Diceros bicornis minor: one gene and its partners. The protein of the gene in region 1 interacts with the protein of each later gene in a pairwise test. Links are inferred from orthologs where the notes say so. Each region holds a gene or a part of one and is shown in the gene's direction. Other genes may lie near its edges. The genes, in order: LDOC1, DPPA4, SMARCD1 and PLEKHF2.

Region 1 (7,880 bases):
CACTTTGGTATGCTGGAGAGGGTGAAGACAGAAGGGAGAATGCTGTACTTGCTCAATCCTCTCTCTAGGCCAGAGGTCTCCACAGCTCTCTAGATGTGGTTACTGTAAAAAAAAAAAAAAAAAAAAAGCCTCAGGTGCACCTAGTTAAGGAGAAAGAGTGGGAGGGGGTCTACGGGCAGAGGCCTGGATCTTAGTGGTATCCATTTGACCTTCCCACAAATATCCCCTCCAAAGCTGATTTCTGTTCCTGGCTGCATATTCAAGTGCCAGATTGGTTTACCCAATTTGTACACATTCCTCTGGAGACTGAAGAATCAAGGGGCCGACGTTTTCATGTTTATTTCAGAGGAATTTTACAGTCTGACTGCTAGGTGTATACCAGGTCAGGGTTTGAAGCATGGAAGATGGTGGAAGCAATAAGCATCAGGTATCACTCCATTGGCTTTGGGCCCATGCTCTTGCCAAATAGTGGGGTTCAAACCACCCTTGGGACATTCTGTGCCAAAGCTGTCCTGATGAAGTTTCTGAGCCTGAGATAAGTCATGCAGAGCCATCTGCCTCTGCCCGCAGCGTCTTACACGGGTGTAAGGGAAAGTAAGGAAGATGACGTGCAGCCCTAAGCAGGGTGAATGGAGAAGCAAGGGTGAAGGAAGCGCTGGCAGGCATTGACATTGGTGGGAGAGCCTCATGGGCACCGGGAAGCTGGCTAATGTGGACAGTACAGTTCTACAGTAGTCTCCCCTTATCCATGGGGGATACTTTCCAGGACCCCCAGTAGATGCCTGAAACTGTGGATTGTACTGAACCTTACATATACTATGTTTTTTCCTATACATACATACCTACGATAAAGTTGAATTTATAAGGCACAGTAAGAGATTAACAACAATAACTAATAATAAAATAGAGCAATTATAATAATATACTGTAATAAAAATCATGTGAATGTGGTTTCTCTCTCTCTCAAAATATCTTATTGTACTGTACTCACCCTTCTTCCTCTTGTGATGATGTGAGATGATAAAATGCTTACCTGATGAGATGAGGTGAGGTGAATGTCGTAGGCATTGTAACGTAGTGTTAGGCAATACAGCAGAAGGAAGATCATCTGCTTCCAGATGGCGGTTGACTGTGGGTAACTGAAACCGCGGAAAGCGAATCTGCGGATAAGGGGGGACCACTGTATATACTTTAGTCATACTACTCACCTCTTCCCAACTGCTTCCCCGTGAGTCTCTCGTCCCTCTGTCTCTCCTCCCTCCCTCCAAGTTTGGAAGTGCCTCCCAAAGTCACTGCTCAGCTCTGTACACAGTTCTGGCCAGGGCATTTCTTGTTTTTTAGGAACTCAGAACCCCCTGAGAGGTGATGCTAGCGGTTGCTTCCTATGGTTTCCTCCCTGACTCCCCCTGTCATGGGATTGTAGGAAGAGGACTAGGGCACCATGGGCCTAACCATCTCTGGGTCCCCACTAGATCTTCCTGATTCACGGAAGTCCAGTGCATAATAGTTGTTCAGTGGAAGTGCATGTGCCATCAGAGAAGCTGAGACTGTGGTACTGCACCACCAACATATTGTAGTATTGCTCTCCTGGGTTTAGGCAAGTCTTTAACTCCTGGGTCTCAGGCTCCTAGAGTGCTCATCCTCATGCATGTTCTGTGGGAGGGTCAATGAGGCAGCCCATGTCAATCACCAAATCCAGTGCCTGCCACAGGATGTGTGCTCCTGGGAGTAGAACCCTGGGCATCTCTTCCTGTATTAGGGTCTAGACATGGAAAGTGGAGCTGGACACTGACCGCTGTGCCAGGCAGGTCTACCCTCCACCCTGAGCTTTGAATGGGCAGGATGGCCAGAAACCTACCTCTGACATTTCCTGTACCGTCATTCCATCCACTGAACATTTATGGAACACCTATAAACACTTTCTGATGCTGAAGATGAAAGGATGAACGAGAGAGTGTCCCTGCGTGGCCTCAAGGGGCTTCTCATCTAATGGGGGAAGCTCATATCACTGGAAAGTCCACGGGCTCATATTCCCCCCTACCTGCTCTTTTCCCTGCACACCCTCTGAGCAGTGTGATCCCTCCTCCTCTCCTTACTTGGTCTTGGCCCTGTTTCCCTCCTCTCTCTCAGCCTCTCACTTCCATGGGTGCCCATTCAATTCTATTGTAAAAGGACTGAATAGGGTTTTTTTTGTGTGTGTGTGAGGAAGACCAGCCCTGAGCTAACATCCATTCTAATCCTCCTCTTTTTGCTGAGGAAGACCGGTTCTGAGCTAACATCTATTGCCAATCCTCCTCCTTTTTTCCCCCAAAGCCCCAGTAGATAGTTGTATGTCATAGTTGCACATCCTTCTAGTTGCTGTATGTGGCACGTGGCCTCGGCATGGCCGGAGAAGCGGTGCGTCGGTGCGCGCCCGGGATCTGAACCGGGCCGCCAGTAGCGGAGCATGTGCACTTAACCGCTAAGCCATGGGGCCAGCCCAGAATAGGGTTTTAAAAAAAATTTATTTTGCCATTTTTGTTACATCACTCATCGTTTCACAATGGAGACTGATTCATGATCAGAGATAGAACATATTGGACAATTTGAAGAATATTTTTGGACACTTTATGCAGCTACCATTTCTAATTTTTATTTGAACATCTGCACTCTGAGATTCTTTCATAAACCAAACATTTATGGTGCTTCTACTCTGGGCCAGACACTTTTCTAGACATCAGGGATAGAGCAGCTAACAAAGTAAAGTCTCTGTCCACATTGACTTACATTCTCAAGTGGAGGCAGACTGACAAACACAGTGCTATATATGATGGCTCCCAGCATGATACATGCTATGTAGAGAAATGAAGCAGGGTAAGGGGTTAGAGACTACTGGCAGATAACCGGGTGCTCTGATAGATGAGGTGGTCAGGAAAGTCCTCTCTGAAAACAGTGCGAGAAGGAGTTAGGCAGCTAACTGGGGAGGGAGCTTTGTAAGACAGAAAGGGTAGAAAGTGCAAAGTTCCTGAGGCCAGAGCTACTTGAAATGTATGAGAATCAGCAAGGAGGATGTGGGGGAAGAGGGAGAATCCCCCTCTGCCCTTTTCGTTAAGGTTCTTATGGCTGGCCAAATAATTAACAAGACAGGTTAGCAGGAGAAAATAATACCAAGTTTAATAACATGTATACATGGGAGAAAGCAGGGACACTGCGTTTCTCAACACAATAGCAGAAATTCTCGTCTTAAATACCATGTTCAGCCAACGACAAAGGAGGATGTGGGGGTGGGGGGAGTCAGTTACAGGAGATTACCACTAAAGCACAGTAAACAAGAGTAAGGTTATTATGCAGATTTAAGGCCTCACCTTCCACATTGATAAGCCTCTAGAAATGAGGTCATCCCCCCTCTTCCCAAAACAGAGAGGGAGATACCCTTACAAATGGAGATTTCCCTTATAAATGTAAATGATTGTCTGGCAACTCCTAGCAGGGCCATCCAGAGAATGTGGCCAGAGAGACAGAACTTCTGATAAGATGGGCTTGTTGGTGCCTTTTCTATTGTAACCTCTATCCTACATTATCTTTACAGCCATCATGATAGATCTGTTCCAGGAAGGAGCCACTATGTCAAATTCTTTAGGCAGTTAGTGGGGAGGTCAAATGTCCCTCAGAGAAAACAATCAAGGTAAAGAGATATATTTCAGGATGGCCAAATCTTGATCTCCCACAAGGACAATGTGATTGGAACAGAGCAGGGAACAGGAAGAGGCCTAGGAGATGAGGCAGGGCCTTATATGCCATAACCAAGATTTTGCTTTTTATTTTGAGCAAGAGAGGAAAACTGTTGGAGGATTTTGAGCAAGGCAGTGAAGAGATCTAACTTTTGTTCTAAAGGATTACTATGCCTACTCTGTGGAGAATATATATACACACACACACACACACACACACACACACACACTGCGGGAAGGGAAGAGTGAAAGTTAAGTGATTAGTTGCAGCAGTCTGGGTGAGAAAGGAAGGCTGGGATCAGGGAGGTAGTGGTAGAAGTGACAAGAAGTGATTGAATTGGGGACATATTTTAAAAGCAGAGCCAACAGATTATGTTGGCTCTAGGGTCCTGGATCCAACTCAGTTGTCAACAACTATTTGAATAATCAGGAAGTAGAAACACAAAACCATTTAAAAACACAAGTCTTCATTGTTAAGCAAAGAATAATACCCAGTGGCCAAGGGACACTAATACTAGGACATGAAATAGAGAATCAAAGATAGGCAGGATGCCTGCAAATAGTTATCGGATGATTTTAAAGAACTATTTATATTTCGTTATTTAGACACATTTCTAAAAAAGGATAGAGGTATACAATATTATTTCCCAACTAAAGTCAAATTCCTGTTTAAATATTGTTTTCTCATGAAAGACAGGACCTCTGACGGTCTTTCATAACTCTGAAAGGATGTGTGACTCCCGCGGTGCGGCCAGCAGTGCTTAACAGCTCTCTGGGTGAACGAGATTTAAATAAGCAAGGAAATGTGTTAACAAAACTTCACGTAAATGAAATGTACTGGCCACAGACCCGGCAAGGAACACTGTATTGTGTGAGTCGGCTGGGTTGAACGGTGGTTAATCCTTTAAACTTACGCAGGTTGGCCCGCTCTGACACAGGTCTTAGCGCGCCCGCGGTCCAGGCTAACGAACGCCGCACCCACATCCAGGGCTCGGTCGGGGTCCCTTGCCTTTATCCGCGGGCCTTGAGAACCATGACCCGCCCCGAGACCCTGCCCGCCGCTTCCCTGGCCCCGCCCCCCCGGTCACGTCTCCGCGGCCCCGCCTGCCCCACCCTGGCTACGCCCCCACGCCGCGCCGGCAGCTTCCCTGGCCACGCCCCCTCACCTCCCCCGGGCCGCGGCGGCGCGCCGGCCGACCGTGCGGCTTTGTGGGCGGAGCTTGCGCAGCCGCCGGGTCTCCTGCGCGCACTGCCCTCCGTCCCTGGCCACCGCGCTCCTCCGCGGACACGCACTTCCTGCGAGGCCTCTGTGCGCACCTTAGCCGAGCCGAACCGAGCCGAGCTCAGCCTTGCCCTTCCAAGCCGTTCGCCATGGTGGACGAGCTGGTGCTGCTGCTGCACGCGCTCCTGATGCGGCACCGCGCCCTGAGCATCGAGAACAGCCAGCTCATGGAACAGCTGCGGCTGCTGGTGTGCGAGAGGGCCACCCTGCTGCGCCAGGTACGTCCGCCGAGTTGCCCGGTGCCCTTCCCTGAAACGTTTAACGGCGAGAGCTCCCGGCTCCCTGAGTTTATCGTGCAGACGGCGTCTTACATGCTTGTCAACGAGAACCGATTCTGCAACGACGCCATGAAGGTGGCATTCCTAATCAGCCTGCTCACCGGGGAAGCCGAGGAGTGGGTGGTGCCGTACATTGAGATGGATAGCCCCATCCTAGGTGATTACCGGGCCTTCCTCGATGAGATGAAACAGTGTTTTGGCTGGGATGACGATGAAGAAGACGACGACGAAGATGATGATTACTAGGCCCCGAGACCCTCGGGCCTAGGTGGGAGGGCCCTGCACGCCGCTCCCCTCCCCCGCGCGCCCTCCTGCCCTGTCCGGAGCCGCCGCGCTCCCCCTCGCCCTCCTATCCCCTTTCCTACCCCTGCCCTCCCATTCTCTTCCTCATCCCCCGCCTCCCTCGTAGTGCTTGTCTTTGTTCCAGGAATAGTGAGTGCTCCAGTTACCTGCTGCTGGAGCTGGGGCCTCGCTCTGAAGCGCGCCGCCACCCAGTCTGGCCAGCCCCAGGACCCTCCGCTGCTAATTTGGACTGTGTCCTGAGCCCCAGCTTTAGGGCAGGACCCTGTTACAAACTGGTCAGACTGCGCACAGCCCTGCCAAACTGCCAGGCCTACATCTGCCCAGAGACTTAAAGCTGCCACTTCACCGTCGTCCATCACATTCCAGTGACAGACCACCACCTTTGGAGATAAGAGTCAACCTAGAAGATGCCTGAGTTGGCTACACCTCCTCGGACAATGATTTGTACAGCTCACCAACCTTTAAAGGGCCAGTCTTGCAGCCTGGTTAGTTCCCTACCTGCTCCCAGAGTCCTCCCTTGCCCCACCAAATTGCTGCAGGGGCCTAGTGTGCCTGGCAGCCAAATTGTTGACATTTCTTTTCTCCTAGGCACCCGTTTTGCACAGCTGTTATTTTTTTTCCAAAATTGCAGCAGTCCCACAGATGTGTGCATTTGGACAAAAATACTAAAAACAAACAAGAACAGGCACTCGGCCCAGCTCCTCAATACTACCTGGAAAAAGCACTTGTTCTTTTCAATAAATATCAAGCACTACTCAAAAAAGAAAGGAGTGTCTTTTAATGGTTAAATGCCATCATTGGCCACTACCTCTCTCACTCTGACTCCCATTGTTCCCACTGAGATCAGGGAAGTTAGTTCAATGCCAGTATTCCCCACTGTCATCTCTAGGCTACAGAGGACATCTACCACAGGACTTTATTGGGATTCTGGTGCTCCCCTCACCAAGGCATTTCTTAAAGCCCTGGCGAAGGGAGTGTTCTCTGGAGCCTCCTGGGTGACATGGGTAAGGGGTGACTGAGCAGGTGGCACACCATCCCAAACTGGGACACTTTTGAGAGTGAAAGTGACACTATTAATAATTAGACTGGGACAACAGGCATAAATCTGGACACATACAATATTCCTATCTTCCTGAGCCTTTGGGTTCCTTCCTTAACACTGCCAGGGAGGTTCTGTGCCTTAATTCTTATTGCCTGTGGAGTACTTTTAAGTTCAGGCTGCAGTTAACAACGTAGCACATTGTTTTAATGCCCCTTTCAGGCTCGAGCTAAAATTAAATCCTGGTTCCTTGGTAAGTGCACCGGTAATAAATAGAATCTTAACATTTCATCCTCCTTGGGAAGACACCCTTAGAATCCGCACCCATACATATGCCCCAGGTTCCTGCCTATGGAAGTTGGCACTATGCCTGGCTATCTCCTGAACTAGACCTTGTACTGCTATCTGGGCTATGCTGAGATCTCTGTGGCCCAAGAGGGCTCAGAGGCATTGAGAGAGTGGGGTGGGTGCTGAGAATAATGCGCATACCTCTGTGAGGCCATTACTCCAGGTTAAGTCATTGAAATGTTAAATCAGAGAAGCTTGGTTGGGGGATTTGTGGGGGCTCCCTCTGCCAGCCAGGCACGTTCAGGAGGATTTGAGGAGTTCAGAGTTTTCATTCTCATCTATATCTGCTAATGTCCTCATTGTACCATGCCTGGAGGCAGCCCTACCTTACGACCTCTAATTTAGACAATAAATTTCTTTATTGTTTAAGACCTTTTGAGGCTGGGTATTCTTTTATTTGTACTGGTAAACCTCACTGTGGATTAAATGAGATACTAGTCATCATACTGGTCACCTCACAGATCACGTCCATAAGGTATTTAGAACTGTCTCTGCTATATGGTGAGCACTCAGTAGACATGGGCTATTACTCCCAGCCCTGGGAACTGAAGTCTTGCTTGGGAGGCAGGTCTCTTGCTATGAGCTTAGCTTTAGTAGGAAAATGTCAGGGGTGAAGAGGAGCAGAGCAGGCTGAGGGAGAGTGGAAATGAGAGCATGACAAGACCTCATTTACTCTTTGGGATCTGACGTGAACTCAGATAGAAAGCCAGTTTACTTGGTAATAGGCAAAGTCCGGGGCAGGAGTCATTTCTCAGGTCTGGGAAAGTTGTTTCTGGAGAGTAGGGACAGGGGTGGATATTACTTAGCAAAGGAGGTTGAGGCCCAAACGAGATGGATGTGGGAATGTGGTGAGGAAGAGCTGAAAGCTAGATAAAGGACCTGGTGAGATGAAAAATCAGCCATTCAAAATTATTGGTGGT
Region 2 (8,202 bases), on another chromosome or scaffold:
GCCGAGGACGTACAATTGCATTGGCACTTAGCACATACAGGAGGATCAGGAGCTGGAAACCTAATAACCAAGGAACGATTCTCCTGGAGCACAGTTAACTGGGAGGCGGGAGGGGGAGCTGGTAGGGGGAAGCAAAAGCAGAGCATATTAGGTGAGATTTTCAAGGAACGTTGTTTTGTTACACAAACATTTCAGTATTTATGAATCATCATTGGGGCAGATCTGTGGGGCCTGAAGCTTATGCAACTTTGAAAAAGATATAAAATTATGCATGCAAAATTTCTAGAGTCCTCACAGGAGCTTGGCTTGGGCCAGTGCAAACAAAGTGCCTGACGCTTAAGCCTCAGTAGATTCAAGGTGAACCTGCCCCTGATTAGCATGTTCTGTTCTGTCAGGTAGACGCTTAAGGAAACTCGGTATGTAATCCAATAACACTACGTTTGCTCACATGTTTGGAACTCCTCCTACTGTGAGATAATTAAGGACCAGACCCACATTTTTATGACTAGTGCCTAACACACGATGGAAGGAAGGAAGGAATGGGGGGGGGAGTTGGAAGAGAGAGTTTATAAACAAAGGAACAGGTTAGGTTTGTTTAACTTCATGATAGATACCAGCTTTACCATCTACCTCCAACTTTTCCCTTTTTTAACCAGTTGTTAACTAACCTGATGGCCTACCTTACTCTCTAGATTTACTTCTAAATGACTCACCTGTTTCTAAAATAAAATAACCCCATAAAAAGCAATGATTTCTCACTATAGGAGAGACGTAAAAGGTAAATTGTTATACATTAGGTGTGTCCAGTTCTAGTGTATTTTTTAAAATACCAGTCTCTCGGATATGGAGAAAGAGGTGTTCGCATGCACTGTTATAAACTTGTAAAATCATTCTGGATATGAATTGAACTATATATAAGTTTTTTTAAAAGCCCAGCTTTTGAGCCAGGACTTCTCAGAATACACAGCGCGGAGAGATCCAGACAGGTCCTCCAACCAGCCTCCACAGTTCCACTTCCCGCCAAATCTCTCCCTTCCATCAAATATGAAATGGTGGTTATGTATGACACTATCCTGTTTTGTCTTCTGTAAATGCAGATTAATGACTTTGGAAGATTCATTGCCTCCAGGTAAGCAACTGAAAGCCTCATTAACTCAGCTCATTTTATTCAATTAAAATTTTTTTTGGAAAAGAAAATACACAAAAAAATGAAGAAAAAAGAAACCGTAGGAGGAGTACTCCCCATCTCTCAAATATGTATTCTTCTTGCTAAAAACAAGACAGGCCAAAATGGAGTCACTTATGCTAAGCCCCATGTCACCAAACAGAGACTTAACTTACACTTTTGGCTCTCCCAGAAATGGAATCTTACACCAGCCATCAGGAATCGCCTGATCAGCACTAGTCAGGTCATCTGCCTGATAGACCCCTGCCACTCCCTAAAGGAAAGTCACCTTGCATAACCAACCAGCTTTTTTTGTCTAGTACAACTTCCTTCCTGCTGTCCCCCTCTGCCTATAAAAATCTTTCATTTTGTACAGCTCCTCAGAGCTCCTTTCTATCTGCTAGATTGGATGCTGCCTGATTCATGAATCATGGAATAAAGCCAATAAGATCTTTAACATTTACTCAGTTGAATTTTGTTTTTTAACACTCTCCAATGCTGTAATAATAGAAACATCTAACATTGACCCAACACGTGCTGCCCTAGACACTGTTTATTCAGGACATGGGAGAGCCCTCTTCGCTCCCCCACAACCCTCTGAGTGAGGGTTAGTGTTTTCACCACTCCCGTCTTACAGATGAGGAAAGGGAGACCTGCAGGTGTGAGACAACTTGCCTGAGGTCACACGCTGGTAACGGGGAGGCTGAGGTTTAAAGACAGTCCGTGCTGTTAGCCACAACTCTCCATTTCCGCTCCAGCTGCCAGTATCTCAGACCTAACATTGCCTCGGTAGCCTCCTAACCTACCTTCCCATGTTTACTCTGATCCGTCACCTCATCTTTCTCCTCCTTGCCGTTGAAAGATCTTTACAAAATGCTCTTCAGAATCTGCCCACCCCCACTCCCACCTTCATCCCCACCCCACCCTGAATTTTTCCATTGTTCTTAGCCTAAAGATCAAAAGGCCAACCTATCCAGACTCAGCTTACATTTTCTTCCTCCCTCTCCTAGCCCCACGCAGCCCCTTTCAGTTCCTGAACCGAGGTGGGCTGCCTCAGGAGTGCAGTCTCTCTGGGCGGATCCTTCCTCTGTTCAGTTAGTTCAGTTCACCTGGTCCTTAGACCCGCTGCTCTCCTGACTTCCTTGATGAGGTCAAAACCCCTACTGCAGGCTGTCATACATGCAGAGCTTTCCTATTTTTCAAGTGTCATAATTGAATAGTTTACATTGGTTTTGATAATACATATAAATGAATATAATGCATTTAAAAATCAAGTAAAAGAGCATTTCCTTATATTATTAGTTACTGATATGATTTGCTTAACATCTGTCCTCTCCCCCAGCTGTGAGCCCATGTGGGCCGGGTCCCTGTCTGCCATTGTCCACCTCTGTGTCTCCCAGGCAGAGCACACAGCAGACACCCAACACACTGTTGTTCAATAAATGAATAAGAGATTCAGTTATGAATATTTTTTGAACTCAGGGTAGATAGAACTTTAGGCATTGACATAACATTTTTAAAAAGCAATAAAAAGTTTTTCTTTTGACTACTAAACATTAATAAGAAACTACACATAAATTTGTGTTAGTTATTTCTCTAAAAGACACAATAAATTTACAGTTATCCCTATTTTACATTTGAGAAACCAAAGCAGAAAGGTATCGTACTTTGCCCAAGATTGCTTATAAATTATCACAACTCCCACAAGCCTGTTAGAAAGATATTTGGCTTCTTTTTGCTTCATTCAAGAGCCCAGTAGTACCGTTTCCAATTATGCTCAAATATTTTAAATTGTACTAATCCTCTTTATACATAGGACATCAACTAACCCATGTTTTTTGAATGGTTGGTGCAACTTGTTAGAACTGTGTTCCCCCAAATGGTGATGAGACTAAGAATTCTTAAATCAAATTCCAGCACACACTGGCTCTGTTTATACACGCTTTAGAGATTGTACCTTGCCTGGGATTAGATGTCTCAGTCTCAGCAACGTTACTTCCAGTTACACTGGGAAAAGGAAGATGACAACTGGTTACCAGTTGTTGTCTCTGAGCCAGAGTAAAGAACTGATCAGTCAAAGCCCCGGTGCGACCTCCCAGATGATCTACATTCTAAATACTCACTTTCGTCCTTGGTGCTCTGCGGGATGCCCAGTCCACAGGTACACTTCCTTCTCTACTCCTAGGTCCCATTTACTTACTCCCTATGTCCATGTATTTCTATCCTGCGAGCAGATTATCCCCTCCATTCTGGGTAAGGATCATTTCTTCTTCATCATTTTAGGGCAAGCAATGAGATGTAGGAAAAACAACACAGACTTTGTAATCTGACAAAGGTTTGAATCTCACAATCACTGGTTCTTAACCCAGGAAATTCCTTCCCCTCCCATCTCTAATCCTGACAGTTTGACAGGGAGGATGATCTGAGAAGGAGGGATTTTTGAAACTATTTTTGAGAGAATCTGGACCTTGTTTGGGAGTCAGTAGGTTAGGGCTCAAGGGATAGAATCGCGTCCACCTACACTTGATTTCTGGTTCTCTCACTGTGCTATTGAGCAAGTGATCAATACGATGTTATACATACTTTGGTCATCTATAAAATGGAGAACAATAAAATAATGGCTGTGAGCTTTTAAGCCTAGAATTTGGTACATAAATACTCAATAGACTTTAAAAACTACTATAATTCTTTGTTGGCAGATGGGAAGGTGCTAGTTACTATTAGCACAGATGGAACGCTGGAGTTTTAATTGGTAGAGTAACTTGCTTAAGAAATGGAATGTATATGGTACATGAAAACAGCTTTGCTTTCTTAAAGCCATCAGTCTGGTCCGGAATCCTATTGTTTCCACAAGTTCTATCATTAAATCCTTTCACCCATCCTATTCACAAGTCTCTGGAAATTTTTATTTTTCTTCTTGGAATTTCTCTGAAGGAGTTTTAAACTTTCCAATGTCACCTGAACCACACTGTACGTGATTATGTTTAAAAGCTCATAGAAAAGGGCCAGGAATGGTATTAATTCATTCATACAATAGTCGCCTTGTGAATAAGACAGTACACAAATTTAGCATTCACAAATTGTGGGGGAGGGAACAGAGGGGAGGAGAAAAAGAAGAGTTCCTTCTGGGTGGCAGGAAGTGGGAGGAGACTTTTAAAAGAGCAATCTTGGGCCAGGGGCCATTTTAGAAGTAAGCAGAACTTTCTTTTTATCAACCTTGACTTCTTTTCTGAGTATGGAGAATGCAAAAGGCAAGCAGGTAAGTACAATCTTAGTGGGTTTGTTTTCTGTCCTTGTGAGTCTCCTCATATTCCTCTCTTCCCCTGAGCACACTTGATCCTTCTTTTGAGGAGAAAAGAATGTGCCTTCAATTTCCTCCTCTTTAAAAAAAAAAAAAGTAAAGTCCTGGATATGACTGCAACCTGTTATATTGGAGCTAGGAAATAATAAGAAATGGGGTTTCCTGTTTTGGTTTTGAAGAGATGCTTTATCCCATCAGAAAGAAGAATCCAGTATCAGGGGTGTAAGGAAATGGTAACAGGGGCAAGGAGGAGGTGAGGGAAAGACTTCAGGAAGAGATATGAGCTGAGTCGGGGAAAGAACGAGATCCTTTAATTTCCCTTCAACAGACACAGATCCTAAAGCAAATGTGTTGAGTCTGAACTCATCTTCTTTTCCCAGGGTCGTTAGGGCCAAGAAATATAAGCCAGACATCTTGACAAGCACTGCAGACAGAAACAAGAGGTGGAGAGGCTTTGAGGCTTGTTCCAGAAGAACTGAACTCCCGTGCCTGGGAAACCTGAACACTCTCAGGGTCTCTTTCCTAGAACCAGGTCATTTTTGCACTCTCAATTTTAAGACTTTTGTGAGACCCAAAAGTGAGTAGTTTGTGTAAGGGCTATGTAGATGTAAAATTTGAATACGAATGTAAAACTGCAATAGAAATGTAAAAATGCCATACAAATGTTAATTTGTCCAGTACTCCCACCTTGGGGATGATGGAAAGGAATTAGGTTTGGGAGCAAGTTGATCTGGGATTTAATTCCTATCTAACGTGCCTATCTGCGCACCCTTAGTTATGTAAGGCATCAGCTTCTGCATCTGAAAAACAAATAAACTGTCACCAGATTGCTGTGCAGATTAAAGGAAAGAAAATAAGGAATGTGTCAAACAATACCTAATAGAAGAGAGAGGCTCAACAACTGTCAGATTCTCTGTACAAACAACTTTATCCCCACTGTTCTCTTGTTTCTTTTGATGCAATTAACCAACATTTATTGAGTGCCTATGATGAAAGGGAAAGAAATTCTGCCCTTGTGAAGCTTACAATCAAATGGAATAATAGGCATTGACCAAATGACACAAGCAAATGTGAAATTGCAACTGATCAGTGGTGGGAATGAGGCAAAAGGTAGTAGATTTGACTTGGTCTGTAAAAACGGGAAAGGGTTTAGAGATGAACGCTCGAAGTGAATTCTGGAGGAGGAGTAACATTTAAGAATGTAAATAGAAGTAGGGTGGGGTGGGGTGGAGCTGAGTGATACCACTTCAGGCCAAAGTAACTAGGTTGGGAAGGACAGAAATTCTTTGACTGGAGCTTGGGGCAGAGGAGAGTATTGTGAGAAGAGGCTGGTGGGTTATATGAAAGACATTTGCTTATCTTCATATCTTTACGCTAAGAACAATAAATCTTCGAATGGATGTGAAGGTCTGATAGCATCCCTCCAGCAATAGTATAGGAAACTTATGTGGAAGAGGTCAAGAGTGAAGGAATGGGGGAAAATCTTCCAGGTGAGAGAGGATGGATATCATGGGTGATGTAACGACTTCCCCCAAAGCAGACCTTATTTTCTTCTACTTCTTTTGTTTGTATCCATATTTTCTGTCTTTTTTTGTACTTTTAAATTGGTCTTCTCCCATTTCCCCATCATTGCTTCCCTATCTTATAAATGAACCTGGGCATTAAGACGACACCCAGAGAGGAATCCACACCGCCAGCGGAGTTCGCTGACTGTCTTGGTGCCTTGGATGTGAGTTATCTTGAGGCAGGTAGTGTGTGTGGTGGGTGGGACCAGAGGAATGACTGACTGGTGCCTCTAATCCCCAGTGGAATTCCAAAAAGAAATCAGGGGAAGAACATATGACTGGCAAGTCGAAACCTCAGTCGGTAGAACCCGAAGAGGAACAGCAGGCTTCTGGTGAACCAAATGCACAACAAGCCTCCATGAGGGGGACCAAACGAAAAAGATCTGTGAAGGATGACAAAGGTAAGAGGTCTACAAGTCCTCAGATCTCATTTCCTCAGGTCTAAGAGGCCTGAGGAATTTTTCTGAAGGAGTAGGAAAAGTAGGAAAGGAACGTCGTCCTCTCTTGTGCAAATCCTACAGAATTTTCTTCAAATAAAAGAAATTTCTTCGAGGCCTAGCTTAAATCTCACCTCCCTGAAGCCTTCTTTTGGTCACCCCTGTTAACACTGATTTCTTCCTGTCTCCAAATCCCACAACATTTTTGGTTCTGATCATCATTTTGCCCTCACTCACTGCATGGAGTTAAGGATCTCAAAGTGCAGTGATTTGGGGACAGACCAATGTAAGTTTGAAATCCCATCCTTGAAACTTCACTTCTTGTTCTAAAAAGTGAGGATAATACCTACCATGTTGAGTCAGAGGTCCGGTGGAAGGTGGGTTATAATTTACATAGAATAATTAGATAAAACACCTTCACTATACCTGACTAGTAATGTGGGCTCAGTAAACCCTAGCGACTACCGTGTAGTCGTCATAGTTGTGTCCTCTCTGGAGGTGTGTTCTGTAATTCTTCCTTGAATGCTGAGTGTGCGTGAGGCACAGCAGGAGACCTGTGTGCAATGAGACTGGAGTGCTGCCCTGACTCAGGTAGGCTGGCAGAATTATGGGTAATAGTGGGGTGTGTGTGGCATTGCTGGGTGGTTTATTTTGTTTTATGGTGAGAGGACAAGGCACCACTGAATATTTATGATCTCAGGTCTACAACTTCTACCATTTCCCTGGATTGGAAGTGCAATCTCTAGTGCACCCTCCTTGGAGCCTGTGGGTTACAGAGCTCACAAAGGAGCAAGTGCGTATCAGTGGTGGGGAGTTTTAGGAAGCAAAAAGTGTGCAATTCAGAAATATTAAGTCCTAGGTTTGAGGTTCTGACCTTTGGCGGTTTTGTGGTCTTGGCAAGTCATTGAACTGTACAACAGGGATTGGACTATGAGAGCTAAAAGTGACTGCACTGGTTTCATCCCATTCTCCTTCAGCTTGCTGTCCTCAAAAGATGGAACAAGACAAAGAGGATGTAAGACTTCGGAAGAGGACACCAATTCCTCCATTACCCTCTAAACTGCCACCAGCCAACATGCTTCACCGAGACACCTTGAGAGCCTGGTGCCAACAACTGAAACTGAGCACCAAAGGCCAGGTGAGGGCCGGGTTGGGAGACGATGCTGCTGGGAGAAAGGGTAGGGACCTTACTTTCATTGTTAATTCTTTTTTCTCTTTTCTCAGAAATTAGATGCATATAAGCGACTCTGTGAATATGCTTATCCCAATCAACAGGTGAGTAATTTGTAGAAAATTTGGCAGAGTGGAAGATTTAGTTCTCATCCTAATTACCTATTTTAGCATCAAACAGTAAGTAGAGGAATTGTGTCAGCCCCTCTACTTCTTCTAAGGAGGAACCACATCCCCCTGTCGTCACTTTTCACCAACTCTGAGCAAAGAGTAATACAAATAAGGCTGTCCTTCTGATAGCGCCTTCATCTTTCAAATCCTGTTTGTAGAACATTCCTGTCACAGCAAAGGAGGCCAAGATCCTGCCAGGAGCACAGAGAAAATTGATGATGGACAAGGGAGAATCGTTTCTGGAAAGTTGTGGTAAAAAGATTTCTTCTGCTGGGACTGGTCTTCCTGAAGGGGCTGCTCCCCATGAGGAGGGGGCACACACCCTCCAAGGGTCTACTGCTCTCTTTGAGGGAGCTGAGACTGTTGTGGTGACAACTTCCTCCCCGGATGCTG
Region 3 (7,346 bases), on another chromosome or scaffold:
CCTATGAGATTGCAGGGCTCCTGGGTGAGCTGCTGATGGCACCTGTCCCCTTCCCATGCCATGGGCATGGAGTGACACCCTACCATCTGAAGTGTCCCATGAGCTCCTCCTCCCCTGCGATCCCCCGGGGCCTTTCCCCAAACTCTGTTGTCTGGGTATGTGGTGGGGGGAGGAAGATGGGCTGTCTGTTAGAGCAAAGTTGAAGAGGCCTGTGGGCGTGAACATGGGACTATTTCATATGCCCTGGAAAATCTGCCCAGAGAATAAGAGTGTTGGAGTATTTTGTAAACAATTATTTTTTTCTGAATAATACCTGTTCACTTTAGAAAAGTAGAAAAATGCAGGGCCGGTCCCATGGCTTAGCGGTCAAGTGCGCGCGCTCCGCTACTGGCCGCCCGGTTGGGATCCGGGCGCACACAGACGCACCGCTTCTCCGGCCATGCTGAGGCCACGTCCCACATACAGCAACTAGAAGGATATGCAACTATGACATACAGCTATCTACTGGGGGGGCTTTGGGGGAAAAAAAAAAGGAGGAAAAATGCAGAAAAGCATAAAGAAAATAAAAATCCCACCAGAATTGCTTTGTGCGCCTTCTATATGAAGGCTGTTGATGCTTTTGCAGGACTTGCCTGCCCCTGTCCCAGTGAGCTCTGCTGCTCCCTCGGTGTCCTGACCCCACTGACCTCCCTGTGTCCCCCATGCAGGTGACATTGGGGGCCAGATGGGACTGTTTATCGGGGCCAGCATCCTCACGGTGCTGGAGCTCTTTGACTACGCCTACGAGGTAAGCGGGGGTGGGGATGGAGGTGGGGCCACGAGAGGGGCAGGGTTCCAGTCCGCCCACCCCTCCACCCCAACCTCCCTCCCAGGTCATTAAGCACAAGCTGTGCAGACGAGGGAAGTGCCAGAAGGAGACCAAAAGGAACAGTGCAGACAAAGGCGTGGCCCTCAGCCTGGATGACGTCAAAAGACACGTGAGAGAGAGAGACAGGGGCGCCCTCCAGCCCTGCCCCTTCCCCCACCACCCTAGGACCACCCCCCCCCCGCCCCCGCCACCTTTTCTCCTTTGCCTCCCCCACTCCCCAGCGTCACCTGTGGCCCTTCGGATAACCAGTCGCTGTCTTGTGCTGTTCCCCCAGAACCCGTGTGAGAGCCTCCGGGGCCATCCTGCTGGGATGACATACGCTGCCAACATCCTACCTCACCATCCGGCCCGAGGCACTTTTGAGGACTTTACCTGCTGAGCCCTGCAGGCCACTGTACCAAAGGCCTAGATGGGGAGGGCTAGGAGAGCAAGGGGGCCCCCAGCTGGCCCCCTGCATCTGCCCTGGGGACTCACTCCCCGCTCCCGAGGCAGCCCCCAACTCCTGGGCAGTCCTTTCCTCTTGTCTGTGGTGAGGAAAGAGTCTTGACCATAGAGTCCTCTCCCTGCCTCTCTCCCATTCTTGTTATTTTTAACAAAACTAATCTAAAAAAGAAACTAAAAAGAGAGAACGGGCAAGTGACCTCAGGCTGCCCCTCTCTGCTCCATGCTGCCTCCCCTAGCTCCCAGCCTGAATTCTGTCTGTCTGGCTGTCTGTCGTCTGAGTGTCCACCTACATTCTGCTGCCACCAGTCACCAAAGCCCCCTCCCAGTGGGGGGTGGAGGGGATCCTTGGGGTCTGGAATTTGGCCCCAAACCAGAGAATGTACCTTGAAGGGGAGGGCTAGTGGGGGGGGACTTCCCCAGCCTTAAGAGACCCTCTCAGCCCACTGACCCCCCCCCCCAACCAAGTCTCCAGGCAGGAACTAAGACCCTAGTCCCCCCAACACCACCATGTGAAGTCTCTTGGGAGGTGGGGGATCCCCTGAAGAAGTGGAGATGGGGGCAAGATGTGGCCCTGGTGCTCTGGCCACATCCTGATACCTACAAGTTCATCCCCACCCCAGAGCTGCTGGAGAGAAATCCCAAGAGGCAGCCCTCCTCTATCACCCATAAAAGATCCAGCTAGTTGGCTTCCAGCTCAGGGAGAGGGGCACTGGTGCCTAACCTCACTGGTCCCTCTCCCAGGGGCCCCTGCAGAGGGCCACATCCATAAATTTTCTTATGGAACTCTCCCAAGTCCTTTTCCCCAACTTCATTTGCTTCTCTCAACAACCTCATCTGCATTTTCTATTTCTATACGATACAGACTCTATATTGCTATATCTCTGTATATACTTTCCCCTAACTCTGTCTGTCTATACCCCATCCCCTCTTGTCTCTAAGAACCATCTTTCCACCCCAAGTTCCCCTTTCTGTGTTTCTGCCCCCTCCCTGGTCTCTGAATGCCTTCACCTGTATAAAGAGTTGGACTCTCTCCCCTGGTGTCTGTACTGTGTACACACATCCCTCTGAGAAGCACAAGGAGACGACACGCGCATTGTAACCTTCGCACTGTCTCGGTGGCGACATAAAGGAAGCTGTGAATCACAAGCTCTGCCTCTTTCTGGCCTCACCGTCTTCCCCCAACCCCAGGCACCCTCTGCCCTCCCTGCAGCCTTAACATTCCCTCCCCTGCTCCACCCAGCCCAAAGTCCTTTGCCTGGCTGATGGTGGCCTCCCCAGGGAAGGAGTTGCTGCAGAGAAAGCCCTCACCCAAGGGATGGAGATCTGCTCTGTACACTAAGGCAAGGGTGTCAGAGACAGAGGAAGCTGTGGATTGGTAACTCCTGCAGCTGGAGCGGTGCAGATGACAGGCAGAAGCTGAGGTCCTTAGTCAGTGGCCTTTCCCTCCTTCTGGGTGCACAGCCCCCTTTCCTCACCTGACATCCAAGCCCACCACTTATATTTTCTGGTGAGGTACGGTTTGGTAGTGGGAGGAAAGAGACAGGCCTAGAGGGGAGCTTGAAAGCTCTGCTCTTCTGTCCTTCTCTTCCTACGTTAGTGAGAAACATAAGTGAGGTAGAGGGCTCGCCACGCCCCCTCCACCAGACACTCCTCCCAGGCCAGAACCCTCCCCCTTCCCAGAGCTTCTCTGCCCAGCTGTCTCTTGGTCTCCAACCCCAGAACAGGAACTGTAGTAGGTCACCTGTGCATTGGCCTGGTGCTGGAGAGGGAGGCTGTAGGATCTTTGGGAACTCTTAGTTTGTAGGAGTTCCTTAGAGATCAGACCTCTCCAGAAGGAAGCAGGAGCATGGCCAAGGGGTGTGCACCAGATGGGGAACAGCAGGCAGGGCTATGGGGGACGCATGCCTCTGGTCTAATAAACTGGGTTTCAACCATCTCCTCTTCAGTGTCGTTTTTCTCTTATTTGAAGAGTATTTAGGCCTTCCCACTAAGTGCTTAGAGCTGAGTTTGGCTTGGAGCCAAACAATCAGGGGAGGAGTTAAGGAGGCTTGAGCAGGGAGACCCTGGTCCTCCTGGGGTGGGACAGGCTGACCATCACACCAAGCATGGTTTGAACCACTGGGCAGGGAAAGAGAGGCATCAAAGGCAACAAAGATCCCAAAGAGAAGTCCTATCACAAAGGATTCTTTGGAGAGGGGGCAGGGTCAAAATTCAAAATAAACTTAAAATCTGGAAGCAGGTTAGGTTAAAGTTCAGGGACAAAGTTGGGTTGAAGTTCTAGGGTGAGGTAGTTATTGAGGCACTTTATCTGTGGAATGAGTCCCAAGCTATGAGCCACAAGATCTGGATTCTAGGCTTCGGCTCTACGGCTAACTTGTTAGTTGACCTTTGCCAAATCATTTACTCTGAGTTCAGCTTTCGTGTTTGTCAAATGGAATAAACAGTGCATTCTCCTCTTCAGCCCCCCGGGCTTACAAACAAAAAACAATCAAAGCGCTTTGGGAAGTTAAATGCACCGCGCCAAGATGAAGCAGTCACTCCATCACCCTCTTCCTCCGAGCTTTGGGGCTGGGGCTGTGGTCCCCTTTCCAGTCCTTGTCTTCCTCCCGTCGCCTGGGGGCGCCCCCTCACAGGGCCTCTCTATCCCGAGTTCGTCTCGATGGTTTCCCCTCCCGGACCGTGAAGGGGGGGAGGGAGTGGTCAGCACGCCTTTTCCGCTAGTCGCCCCCCTCTAGCCCACAGTCTCGCTGCCCCCAGCCTCCCGTGCCGGCAGGCCGGCCGGGCGGACAGACGGGCGCGCGGGGGGCGCGCGGGGGGCGGGGGGAGTTCCGGTTCCGGTTCTTTGTGCAGCTGCAGCCGAGGCTCCGGGGAAGATGGCGGCCCGGGCAGGTTTCCAGTCTGTGGCTCCGAGCGGCGGCGCCGGAGCCTCTGGAGGGGCCGGCTCGGCGGCTGCTCTGGGCCCAGGCGGGACTCCGGGACCTCCTGTGCGAATGGGCCCAGCGCCGGGTCAAGGGCTGTACCGTTCCCCGATGCCCGGAGCGGCCTATCCGGTGAGTGGGGCGGGAGGAGGGGCGCGCGGGCCGGGGGCGGGGCCGAGCGGGGGCCTGGGAGTGACAGGGGTGGGGGAGAAGTAGGAGGACCTCCCCTGGGAGGGATTCGGGCCCTGAGTGGGGGTAAGGGGAGACAGTGCAGAGGAAAGGAGGGGAGGCACTTAGCATCCCCACCTGCTTCTAGGGGTATTGTTTCCGTGGGGAGTCAGGGTATAGAACCCGCGGGATGAAATGGTGGGCATATGAGGGCTGGAGTGCAAAAGGGCTTGGGCAGCTCCAGTGCCCACAGGAACACGGAAGGTGTAGCTGGCAAATTGAGGTCAGCTACAGTGCTGAGTAAATGTAGGACTAGGAGAGCTGTCCAGTGTGTCACATAAAAAACTGGCTGGGGAGAATTTGAGTATAATTTGATTATCTCTTAGCTTTTGGGCTGTACTCTCCTATGGAATCACAACTGGAGCAGAGGAAGCTCCAGTTATGTTTTAAAGAGGGAGAAGGCTCCCCTCCTGTTGTGCTCCACCCCACCCCCAGCCTTGTTTCATTCAAAGAACTCAGCCATCCCCCACTTTACCTTTATTAGTGGGGTTAGTAGGGGAAGCCATGACATCTCTGGGTCCTCTCCTCTCTGTAGAGACCAGGTATGCTGCCAGGCAGCCGAATGACACCTCAGGGACCTTCCATGGGACCCCCTGGCTATGGGGGGAACCCTTCAGTCCGACCTGGCCTGGCCCAGTCAGGGATGGACCAGTCCCGCAAGAGACCTGCACCTCAGCAGATCCAGCAGGTCCAGCAGCAGGCGGTCCAAAACCGAAATCACAAGTAAGATGCCTCAGGGCAGAGGGAGGGAGAAGGGAGGAGGAGAAGGAGGAGGCCTGAGGCCTGTGAGGACACAGGTGGTGGGAGTACCTGAACCAAGAAGCAGTGGTGCTGTGTCAGCAGATGGGTGCTCATTCTTGAGAATGCCTCATGTTGGTTGGGGGCAGGGGGATGTCTTTGATTTGAGAGAAGCTTTGCAGTCTCTCTACTTTACTATAAATGGAGGTGCTGACAGCCTGTTTGCATGTTCTGGCTAGTTCCATCCCAACCTGATAACAGTATTTATTCTAAACAGTGCAAAGAAAAAGAAGATGGCTGACAAAATTCTACCTCAAAGGGTGAGTCCAGGCTTTAGGTCTTCTTGTGGGTGTGGTGGGTTTGAGAATAGAGATGGTCAGCTCTAGATCCCAATGATATCTTTCTGTTTCTAAGATACGTGAACTGGTACCAGAATCCCAAGCCTATATGGATCTCTTGGCTTTTGAAAGGAAACTGGACCAGACTATCATGAGGAAACGGCTAGATATCCAGGAGGCTTTGAAACGTCCCATCAAGGTAACTCGGGAGAGGGCTAGACAGAGAGCCAAAGGCGAGGACTCGGGAACCTTCACTAGGCTCAGGATGAGAAATCAAAGGCGCAGCACAGCTCTCCTTGGCATTTAAATTATATCTCTCCCTTCCGCCTACGAACTGAGTGTTACATTAGAAGCATGAGAACAGATAGCAAAGGGGGAGGGGCTTTTGATATCTCTTGCACCAGAAACGTACCCTCTCCGGGTTTTTGCTTTAACAGCTCTGCCGCCTTAGGAACCTGGCACCTTGCGTGAGTTTGTCCACCTGGCATCCCAGTGTATGCACTTGCACTCAGGCCAATGGCCAGTACTCCTCTTCTAGATGGACTCTCCATCCACCCACCCCAGGGACTGGGTAGACAGTACTCCTGTTAGGAGTAATTTTGGGGTTTGGGGAGACCCTTGTCTTCAACATCAAACCACTGAAGCCCCACCATCAATCCTGTTTCTGCCTTCCTCAGCAAAAACGGAAGCTGCGAATTTTCATTTCTAACACTTTCAATCCGGCTAAGTCAGATGCCGAGGATGGGGAAGGGACGGTGGCTTCCTGGGAGCTTCGGGTAGAAGGACGGCTCCTGGAAGATGTGAGTTCAAGGTCCACTGTGGTTGGCATCTAGGGTGGGAGCTGCTGGGAACAAGCAGTGTTGTCTGATTGGCAGGAAGCCTTACTGGTGCTCACAGCCCTTGTTGGGAACAGCAGGGAGAGGTCACAGTGTTCCTGTACTAAAAGACAATGGTTCTTTGTGTCTGGTTCCCACAGCTTGGCCCTCACTGTGGTATCATATCAAGAACGTTATTGTCCTGGGATTTGATTTGTTGTTTACCTTCCTCCTGATGCCGCTGGCCATTGGGATGTAGCAGTATCTGCAGATTATTCAATTAAGTTTTGTTTTTTTTTTTTTAATCAAGTGAGTTTGCACTGAGCATTTGAGGCCATGCTTTCCTCTCTGAGTCCTTGATTCCCACTGGCATCTCCATCTTCCCAACTTTCATTGGAGACATCTCACAGTTTAAGTGGGATAGATTTCTCTGACAGGCTCTTTGTTGCTTCGTGGGGAACATGAGCAGACAGGTGATAGCCCCCAAACTTCCCACCCCAGAAGCTCCTTGGGGAATCTCACCTTTCATTCCCTTACACTCTCTGGCTCTCTATTTTAGCTATTCACAGGCAAGCTAATTTGAATGCATTTTTGCAGGAGAACCAGGGCTCAGTGTCAGCCTCCTTCTTTTCTATATAGGTCCAGTCCATCTGCTGGTGGTGTCATTCCATCCAAAGAAAGCTGTTTTTGTTCTGGCTGCTTACTGCCTGTGATTCATTTCCCCTCTAGAGTCAGACTTTTCTCTGTTCAGACTCGCTTTGTTATGTGCATCGATTTGGCTTAACTTGCCTCGTTTCTCTTGGGGAAATGAAGTGAGTAAGTCAGCGACCCTGTACATGTTATAGGCTGCTTCTTCAGGGTTCTTTTGCTACTGTGACTTGTTTAATACCCACAGATACCTACCTTGCCATTTCCTAAGAAATACTCAGATGACATTTTTGAGTTTTTCCCCATTGTTGTTCTGGGTTCCTTTTTTATGGGACTTTGTCTTGGGGAA
Region 4 (7,864 bases), on another chromosome or scaffold:
TTACATAAAAGTATGAATAACCTATTTATACCAGTATTTTAGAAAAGTACATTGCTTTTTAAAATAGAGTCTCTTGATAATATTTGGATTTAAAGTTTCTGTTAAATTTTACTTACTAACTTTTAAAAACTTAATACAGTGGTCTAACTTGGCAGGTTGCATACTTACTTTGAGCTAGTTTTATGGAAGGTAAGCTTACTCAGTAACTGCTTGTTGAGGTTAATGTTTTATTTGTCATTTACAGGAGGTAATGTTGAGGAATAAGGCATTTGTTGTATAATTTCCCTCTACTGGCAGGGAAGGTAATGTGCAAATAATTTAGGAATTTTTTATAGAAGAAAGCAGCCATTGTGTCTTTTAGGGTATGAGTACTTGAATATGACTTATACCACTTCATTGAAAAACTTACCCATGACTATGCCTTGTGTGTTTTTTAAAAAAATGAAACAATACATACTTATTATAGAAGTTTAGTAAAATATAGAGAAGAAAAAGAATCATGCACAATACTACCAAAGATAAAAAATTAATATGGTTGTATATTTTATATGTCTTTTTTGTACAAAAGTTTACATATTTTACATGTAATTCACTAATCTAGCTGGAATTTATTTCGTGTACAAATTGATCTAGACTTACGTTTCTAAGACAGAGATGAGCATGAAACTAGTTCCTTAGTTTCTGATATGACAAATAAATGATATCCCTGTTAGAAATATGTAAACTTAGTTTGGAATGAGGCAAATTCCTGATCAATTTATATCCATTGTTGGGAAAATTCATAGGATTTTTGATACATACTAGGTTTATATGTTAAAACTCCCAAGGTCAAGATCAATCTCTGCCAAGAAAATTTGATTTGTTAAAATATGGATAAGCTTCTCTGTTTAAATTTAAACCTCATTTTTTGATTCTAAGGTAAGATAGCTTGACAGATGGTTAAATGAGCAGTAGTTTGAGTAATATGATTTACAATAAATCTTTCAAGAAATGAATTTAAGTGCCTGCCAAAAATCTTCTTGAATAACTCCCCAAGCTTAAATTCCAACTTCTCCAAGAGACATGTGCAATAATTTTTTTTTGAACAGATGTTATTTTTAAGAGCAGTGTGTGTCAGGTTCAGAGCAAAATCGAGTGGAAAGTACAGAGTTCCCATATATCCGCTCCCCACACGTGCACAGCCTCCCCAACTATCAACATCCACACCAGAGTGGTACATTTGTTACAACTTGTGCACCTACATTGACAGGTCAATATTACCCAAAGTCCATATTTGCACTAGGGTTCACTTGTGGTGGTGTACATTCTATAGCTTTTGACAAATGTATAATGACATGTATCCACCATTACAGTGTCACACAGAATAGTTTCACTGTCCTAAAAACTCTCTGCGCTCTGCCTGTTTATCCCTCCCTCCCAGCTAACACTGATCTTGTTACTGTCTCGCAATATTTTCAAGGGAACCTTCTATGTCATTTAATTGGGAAAATTTTCTAAATGATCTTCTAAGAGCTGACTATAAGGCTCTCTGATAAGACAGCATAGAACTATATTTCCACGAGTCCTGGGGCCTTCCTGCTTCAAAGCAAAAATTACTGCAATTTGGGGATATAGTTATAATCTGGGTTATTCTCCTTACATAGTGAATTTTTATAAGGAGTAAAATATCTGTTCCCACTTCATGCAGCCAGGATCTGCAGCAAATGTGATTGTGCCAAACTGGTCTGTAGGACACAGTGGCCAGCAAGCCACATGTGTCCTATATTTAAATGTTTAGAAAGACACCCTGTGTGTTGTAGGTTATTTTCCCATAGCCGGGGAGCATCTTGGCTGCAAGAAGAGTAAATTCACTTTTTGTTCACTGGGGAATTAGAAAAAAGCATAAAAGTATTATTTTTTAATCATATAGCTATCAGTCTGGGCCTATTCTGAGACTGGATATTTAAGACAACTATCCCAGTTTGTCTTGCTTTATTCAGTATAGTTTATTTAGTGCTTTTTTTTGGGGGGGGGGGGAGATCAGCCCTGAGCTAACATCTGCCAATCCTCCTCTTTTTTTCCTGAGGAAGACTGGCCCTGGGCTAACATCCATGCCCATCTTCCTCCACTTTATATGGGATGCTGCCATATAAAGTGCGTCGGTGCGCGCCTGGGATCTGAATCAGGGAACCCGGGGCTGCCGCAGCGGAGCACGCAGGCTTAACTGCTTGCGCCACCGGGCCGGCCCCTTTAGTGCTTTATTATATATATTTTTTAACTTTTTTCTTGGGGGGGAAATAATTTCAAACTTACAGTTTGCAAGATAGAAATAGTACCAAGAGCATCCATATACTCTGCTCAGATTGACCTAACATTTTACTCCATTTTAAAAATCATTTATATAGGTGGTTTCTCTCTTTTATATATAATATTTAAATTATATGTTATATATTTAAATTTTTTCTGAATCATTTGAGGGTAAATAGTTCAGTGTGTATATCCTAAGAATAGAAATGTTCTCTTATATAACTAGAACAGAAAATTTAACTGTGATACAATTTTATTTAATATTCTGTTCATATTCCACTTTTGTCAATTGACCCAAAAATGTCCTTTATAACATTCTCCCCTTCTAGTATAGGAACCAGTCTAGGGTCAGGTATTGTAATTAGTTGTCATTATCTCTTTTGCCTCTTTATTCTGGAACATTTCCATGGCCTTTTTTTTTTTTTAGAATATAGCCCCCATCCTCCCTTTTAAAAACAGGATATTAGTTTTTTTGGGTTTGTCTAATATTTTCCCAGAAGTCTAGGGAAACAGCCCCCAATGATCTGAGCTGCCTGTTTGAAGATATACTGGAGAATAATGGTTTCCCCTTTTCTTCTGCCTTTCAGATCTAACACGTGTCTCCCTTGGCAGAATTTAACCTGGAACCATTTAAGGAAAAGTCCTCTGGAAAATAGAGTTCTAGGCTTTCTCCCCGCAGCGCAGAGGAGAATGTAGAAAGGGGTGGCAATAAGGCTAAGTCGACCACTGACAAGGTGGCACACACTCCTGTCCTGTGAGGACCTGGGGATAGAAAGGCAAGAAGACAGGGAGCTCCTGCCCTCATGGAGCCTGCCGTCTCCAGGGAGATCTATAAGTACTGTGAGGGAAGCGCACACCCGCACTGTCTCAGGGCACAGAGGCCTGAAAGACGACAAGGGGCCACAGCTATGCAAAGGGCAGGATAGGGTGGGCTTGTGATTGTCTCGGTAGAGAAGCAGCCAGGGCAGTGGGCCCCATAGCAGAAAAGAGCTGGGTGTATTTGAAAAGTGACACAAGGTCAACGTGACTGGACTTGGGTGGAGCTTGGTATCTTTTTAAGGTGGAGAGGATGGCAGACGCTGGGTTGTGCTGGGTCTCATAGGACCTAGTGACCAGCTGGCATTTTGTTGTAAGTGAAACAGAAATGTTCCTACTCCATATGGCACCTTTGGGCAAATTAGAAAAAGGCATCCATTCCTCAAGGCGTTTCCATCTTGTTGGAAAACGGTTGTAAAATACTTTTATTAGAACAAGGCACTTTACTGAAATCTGCCAGAGAATATTTGTAATAAGTATAAAATTTTCAGTGCTCCAATGTGAAAGGACTCTTCCATAGCGTTGTTCTACTATAACTTGTACAATTGTAATTGGCAGCCCCAGTGGGGAGCCATGGAAGGGTTTCTGCAGGCGAGTGACACAATCCTATGTGGTCCCGAGTGGAGGGGAAAAGAGAGGAGGAGGCGTGTTTTAGAGGCAGATTCTACAATATGTTTGAGGAAAAGGGATAGGATGAAGGCGACGGAAGAGAGGATGGGATGGTGATGACTCGGTAGGTTTGCAGATTTCCACCTACATGTTTTGTTTGAGGTTAGTATGCCGTCCCCCCCGCCCCCCCCCATTCCTTGTCTATCCTAGGCATCTTTGGTATCTTCTCCACGTACCCAACAGCACGCTTAGCAAACAGCTGCTGTGGTATAAACGAAAAGGGCAGATTTAACCTTACATACTATCTTGCATTTTTCAGGTATGTGAAGTAGGTAGATGAGGTTTTGTGTCGCCAGAGATAAGTTTTGGAAAGACCAGAGTTCTAAGGCACAGAATAAAGCCAGTCGCTTAAAAGAAAGGGCTGCTAAGAAGAGTACCTGGGGGTATGCAGGTGTATTGCCACCGCAGCTCCCTCGGTTTCAAGAGGCAGGGGTTTTAGAGAAAGCAAATGGAAGATGTGACGGGCAGGATCGCCAAGGTAAGTGGAAACAGGAAACAAATATCTGCCTAGACGCCTTTGGGCATCTAAATCCAAAGCCTTTCCTTCCCGGCTGCGGAAAGTTCTTGAGTGCCGTGGAGATGCCCGTTCGGTGAGGAGGCAAAGGGGGCCTAGCCTTCCTTCAATTCGTCCAGTCTCCTACAAGAACTACGTAGAGAGATGAACAATCTTTTCCAAGAGCTCGCCGCAGCCAGGCGGGCCAGGTAAGGAGTCTCACCTGCACCCAAAGGGCGCCGGGGCACGCGGTCCCACACTGCGCGGAGGAACCAACCGCAGGCGCCAGCTGCCCAGGTGGGTGTGGCCTCCGCGGTGGCCCCGCCCCCTCGGGCGCGTCGCGCGGGGCGGCACGGGCGGGGCGAGGGAACAGGCAAGAAAGGCGGGGAGCGGGCGGTGTGGGTGTGCTCGTGCCCGCGCGCTGGCGTGTGGGCGGCGGCGCGCCCGTGCGCGCGCAGGGGAGCGGCCAGCGCCGGCGGCCGTTGTGGGGTTCGACTGGAGGGGCGGGGGAGTCACCTGCGAGCGGCTGCGCCGGCCGGCCGCCCGTCCGTCCTTCGCGTCTGGATCTGGCCGGCTGCGCGCGGTCGCGGCCGCGCACACCCTGGGAGGCCGGGGCGGGGAGCCGGCAGAGTCCGCGCCCGGCGCCTGGGACGAGGAGCAGTCGGACTTTCGCCGCCGCCCGCGCCTGGCCGGGTAGGTGAAGCCCGGGTTGGTTGTCCGCCGGCCCCTGGCGGGCCGGGAGAGGAGAAGCGAAACTTTCCGGGCGCTTCCCCTCGCGGTCCCTGGCCGTCGGCGGCGCGGGGAGGTGTCGTCGTCGCGGGCGGCGGCGGCGGACGCCATGTTGGGGTCTGTGAGAAACGGGGCGCTCCCGGGCCGCTCCCCTCGCGCTGGGGTCGGCCGGCGCCCGCCCGCAGGACGCGGCTGCCGCCGCCGGCAGGCTGCGGGGCCGCCCGGGGGTCCGCGCTCCGCGGGGCGGGGCCGGGCGGACGCGGGAAGGGGGCCCCGAGGTCGGGCGAGAAGTTGCGGGGCGTGAGGAGTAGGGATCCAGTCGTGGCCGGTGGCGTCTTAGGGCCCCAGCATCTCTCTGTCCAGAAAGTTTGCGAAGTCTGGGCGTCAGAGACGTTGTAACTCGAATAGCATATATTTATGTGACTTGGGGCAAAAAATGGCACCGTAGAATTTGCTCGGATAGGCGATGGCTCTTACACATTATTCATTTTGGAGTCTTTTGAAGTTTCATGGTCTTTTGCCGAATTTATTTTTCCTTTTTAAAATCTTTTTGAAGGCCGAGAGCTTGCTGCTCCCGTGGCCTGAAGACCCTGTGTGCTTGTGCACCACAGCAGTCGCTTGTGTGCGCGAGGGAAGGGGGTAGGGTTACGGGGACGGAGAACTGAGCCTTTCTCTGTGATTCACGGACTCGCCAAGTGTGGAAGTTTTTAAATGCCTTCTTTGTTGTGTTTTAGTACGTTACTGAAGAGACTCATTAAAGAAAGATTTAGACACGAACGTTGACTGAGGGACTTAAAGGTGTGTGTTGTTTTCTTAACAATAAGGTGAAGTGATCTTGACATTGCGAAATTTTTTTCCGCTCCCTTCGGATCCTTGAAGGTGCGTGCCTACCATGTTTTGAGCATTTACCTTTTTCTGTACTCTGGTAGCTCATGGGATCCTCAGGTTGATTCACAATTAACGAAGGCTTCTATTTTTATCTGTTCGGGTCCTGACAGCGCTGGAGAGGTGAAGAGTATTAAGTTACTTATTTGGAAAGCACATAGAATCGCCTCAAAAAGTAAAACTGATATACTGACCAAGGCATCGAAAAAGGTTCAACTTGAGTTACCCCAGTAAATGAATGTATATTACTATTTTTAAGTAAAGACATCTTCGCTTTAAAATTCTGTTAAATGAACTGAAAGGACTCTTAACCACAAATAAGGTCAACTCTAAAACATGTTTTGGAGAATTTCTCTTCTTAATCTACAGGTAAAAATATAGGTTTTGCTCAGATTTGATTGCTAATTTCCTTAAATTCTTAAAAAAAAATTCTTTTTGCTTCATTGTCAAGTAAATGCCATTATATATGTTTGTTTTTCTGGGTGAAGAGTTCTCTAGAAATGAGGTGACAGCTAACTTCACAAATCTAGCAGGCAAGCTGGTATTTAGCTGAGCTCTTATGACTCGGAAGCCTTCTCATTTTTCTTATAGCTAACTGTGTAGGATACATAACTCATTCCTGTGGAGCAGTCTCTGTCCACCTTGTTTGCTTTGTCTTTGCTGCTCTTTCCATCTTTAATTTTGTTCCTCAGTCTACTTATCTCCTAGAGAGCTGATTTACAAGGGTTCTTGTACTGAAATTTTTCCCCTTAAAAATACTCACTTAAGCTAACTGTACTCTTTGAAAAGCCTTTTCTGCCCTGTTCTCCTTATCCCACCCCCTTTGTCTCCCCAGGAATTGGTTCGCTTCTCCCATGGCATCTCCATACATATTACGTTGACCTGCCGTGGCACCCCCTTGACAGCAGACGTTGCATGGGGTCTGATTTGCCTCTCCCTCCCCAGTGTGCAGAGAACATAGCAGATGCTCAGGAAAGGTTTGAATGGATGAGTACACATATGCTCCTTGTAAATATACTTATTGAATTTCTTACTAAAAATTGCAGTTTCGATGGGCATAGTACTTAAATCTTCTCGAATCCTTTTTTTTTTAATTTTACATTGGTAACTCAATAAGTTTTGGCCTGGGGATACAGAACTTGCATGTTTATGAAATTTACAAGTAGATAATGGACTGAAGTATAATCAACAAAGCAGCAGCAGCCCTGGTTCAACAAAAGGATAATCATAATTTTAAAGTGCAATTGAATTTATTTTCACTGGAGGGAGATAGAGTTAATGCCTGAAAATTTTGAAGGTCGTGTTTATACATTTAAGCTCTTTGATAGAGCAAATCTCATTTCTTTATCAATTATTGTTTTGTCAGAATTCTCTTAGAATTTTGTTTTAGAATGCCTCGCTTAATGGAAAGCATATAGAAATTGCTTTTCTATTGATAAGTTTATCTTTGAGAACCAGCTTTGTACACAAGCTGCATGTTTCATAGCAATGTGCATGTTGGCGTAACCAAATAAAATATACTTCATAGATATGCTTTCAGAGGGCTGTTTTAAGTTGCAAGACCTCTCTAGGTGAAGGTGTTCTGTAATTCTGTAACAAAATTATTGTAGAATTTAGGGTTAATTCCCTGCCCAAGATGACTTTCTCTTCAGTCAATCTATAAACCACAGACTGGTGTGCGCAATTTGGGAGGTCCTGAGAAGAGAAGGCATTCAAGAAGTTGCTATGAGTGCTCGAGAAAGCAAGTTGCATGTAGGGTGGACTGGAACAAAAAAAAGCAATTCTGAATCCTAGTTCTGCTCCTTATTAGCTTGTGACTCTTGAACAAGTTTCTTCACTTCTGTAAGCTTCACTGGACTCATTTGTGAAATGGGCACAGAAATATTTGCCTCATAGTGTTGTGAGGATTTACTAAGCTGTTTGTGGAAGTGCCTGGTGCATGATATTCATATTCAGTAAGTTATATTAACAAATGAACAGAGTGGC

Evidence for each region.
Region 2: the proteins of LDOC1 (region 1) and DPPA4 interact in binary tests that used the Homo sapiens proteins (3 or more experiments, as listed by UniProt). The two-hybrid records come from large-scale screens. The link is inferred for Diceros bicornis minor from reciprocal best matches to the Homo sapiens genes LDOC1 and DPPA4.
Region 3: the proteins of LDOC1 (region 1) and SMARCD1 interact in binary tests that used the Homo sapiens proteins (3 or more experiments, as listed by UniProt). The two-hybrid records come from large-scale screens. The link is inferred for Diceros bicornis minor from reciprocal best matches to the Homo sapiens genes LDOC1 and SMARCD1.
Region 4: the proteins of LDOC1 (region 1) and PLEKHF2 interact in binary tests that used the Homo sapiens proteins (3 or more experiments, as listed by UniProt). The two-hybrid records come from large-scale screens. The link is inferred for Diceros bicornis minor from reciprocal best matches to the Homo sapiens genes LDOC1 and PLEKHF2.

What each region holds. Positions count from the first base shown.
Region 1 is NC_080781.1:128,281,101-128,288,980, forward strand, and holds LDOC1 (protein LDOC1), read left to right. Parts: upstream 1-4,948; 5' UTR 4,949-5,081; coding exon 5,082-5,516; 3' UTR 5,517-6,058; intron 6,059-6,161; 3' UTR 6,162-7,331; downstream 7,332-7,880. UniProt on the Homo sapiens protein: May have an important role in the development and/or progression of some cancers.
Region 2 is NC_080754.1:12,450,497-12,458,698, reverse strand, and holds the start of DPPA4 (developmental pluripotency-associated protein 4), read left to right. Parts: upstream 1-5,049; 5' UTR 5,050-5,911; coding exon 5,912-5,956; intron 5,957-6,132; coding exon 6,133-6,195; intron 6,196-6,272; coding exon 6,273-6,432; intron 6,433-7,445; coding exon 7,446-7,606; intron 7,607-7,692; coding exon 7,693-7,743; intron 7,744-7,967; coding exon 7,968-8,202. UniProt on the Homo sapiens protein: May be involved in the maintenance of active epigenetic status of target genes. May inhibit differentiation of embryonic cells into a primitive ectoderm lineage.
Region 3 is NC_080756.1:19,739,303-19,746,648, reverse strand, and holds the start of SMARCD1 (SWI/SNF-related matrix-associated actin-dependent regulator of chromatin subfamily D member 1), read left to right. Parts: upstream 1-4,147; 5' UTR 4,148-4,185; coding exon 4,186-4,362; intron 4,363-4,993; coding exon 4,994-5,181; intron 5,182-5,473; coding exon 5,474-5,516; intron 5,517-5,610; coding exon 5,611-5,733; intron 5,734-6,211; coding exon 6,212-6,334; intron 6,335-7,346. Other genes in the region: ASIC1 (acid-sensing ion channel 1), read left to right, coding at 1-24, 708-787, 873-977, 1,143-1,247. UniProt on the Homo sapiens protein: Involved in transcriptional activation and repression of select genes by chromatin remodeling (alteration of DNA-nucleosome topology).
Region 4 is NC_080760.1:14,328,239-14,336,102, forward strand, and holds the start of PLEKHF2 (pleckstrin homology domain-containing family F member 2), read left to right. Parts: upstream 1-4,739; 5' UTR 4,740-4,957; intron 4,958-5,727; exon of another isoform or gene 5,728-5,872; intron 5,873-5,991; exon of another isoform or gene 5,992-6,247; intron 6,248-6,713; exon of another isoform or gene 6,714-6,886; intron 6,887-7,864. UniProt on the Homo sapiens protein: May play a role in early endosome fusion upstream of RAB5, hence regulating receptor trafficking and fluid-phase transport. Enhances cellular sensitivity to TNF-induced apoptosis.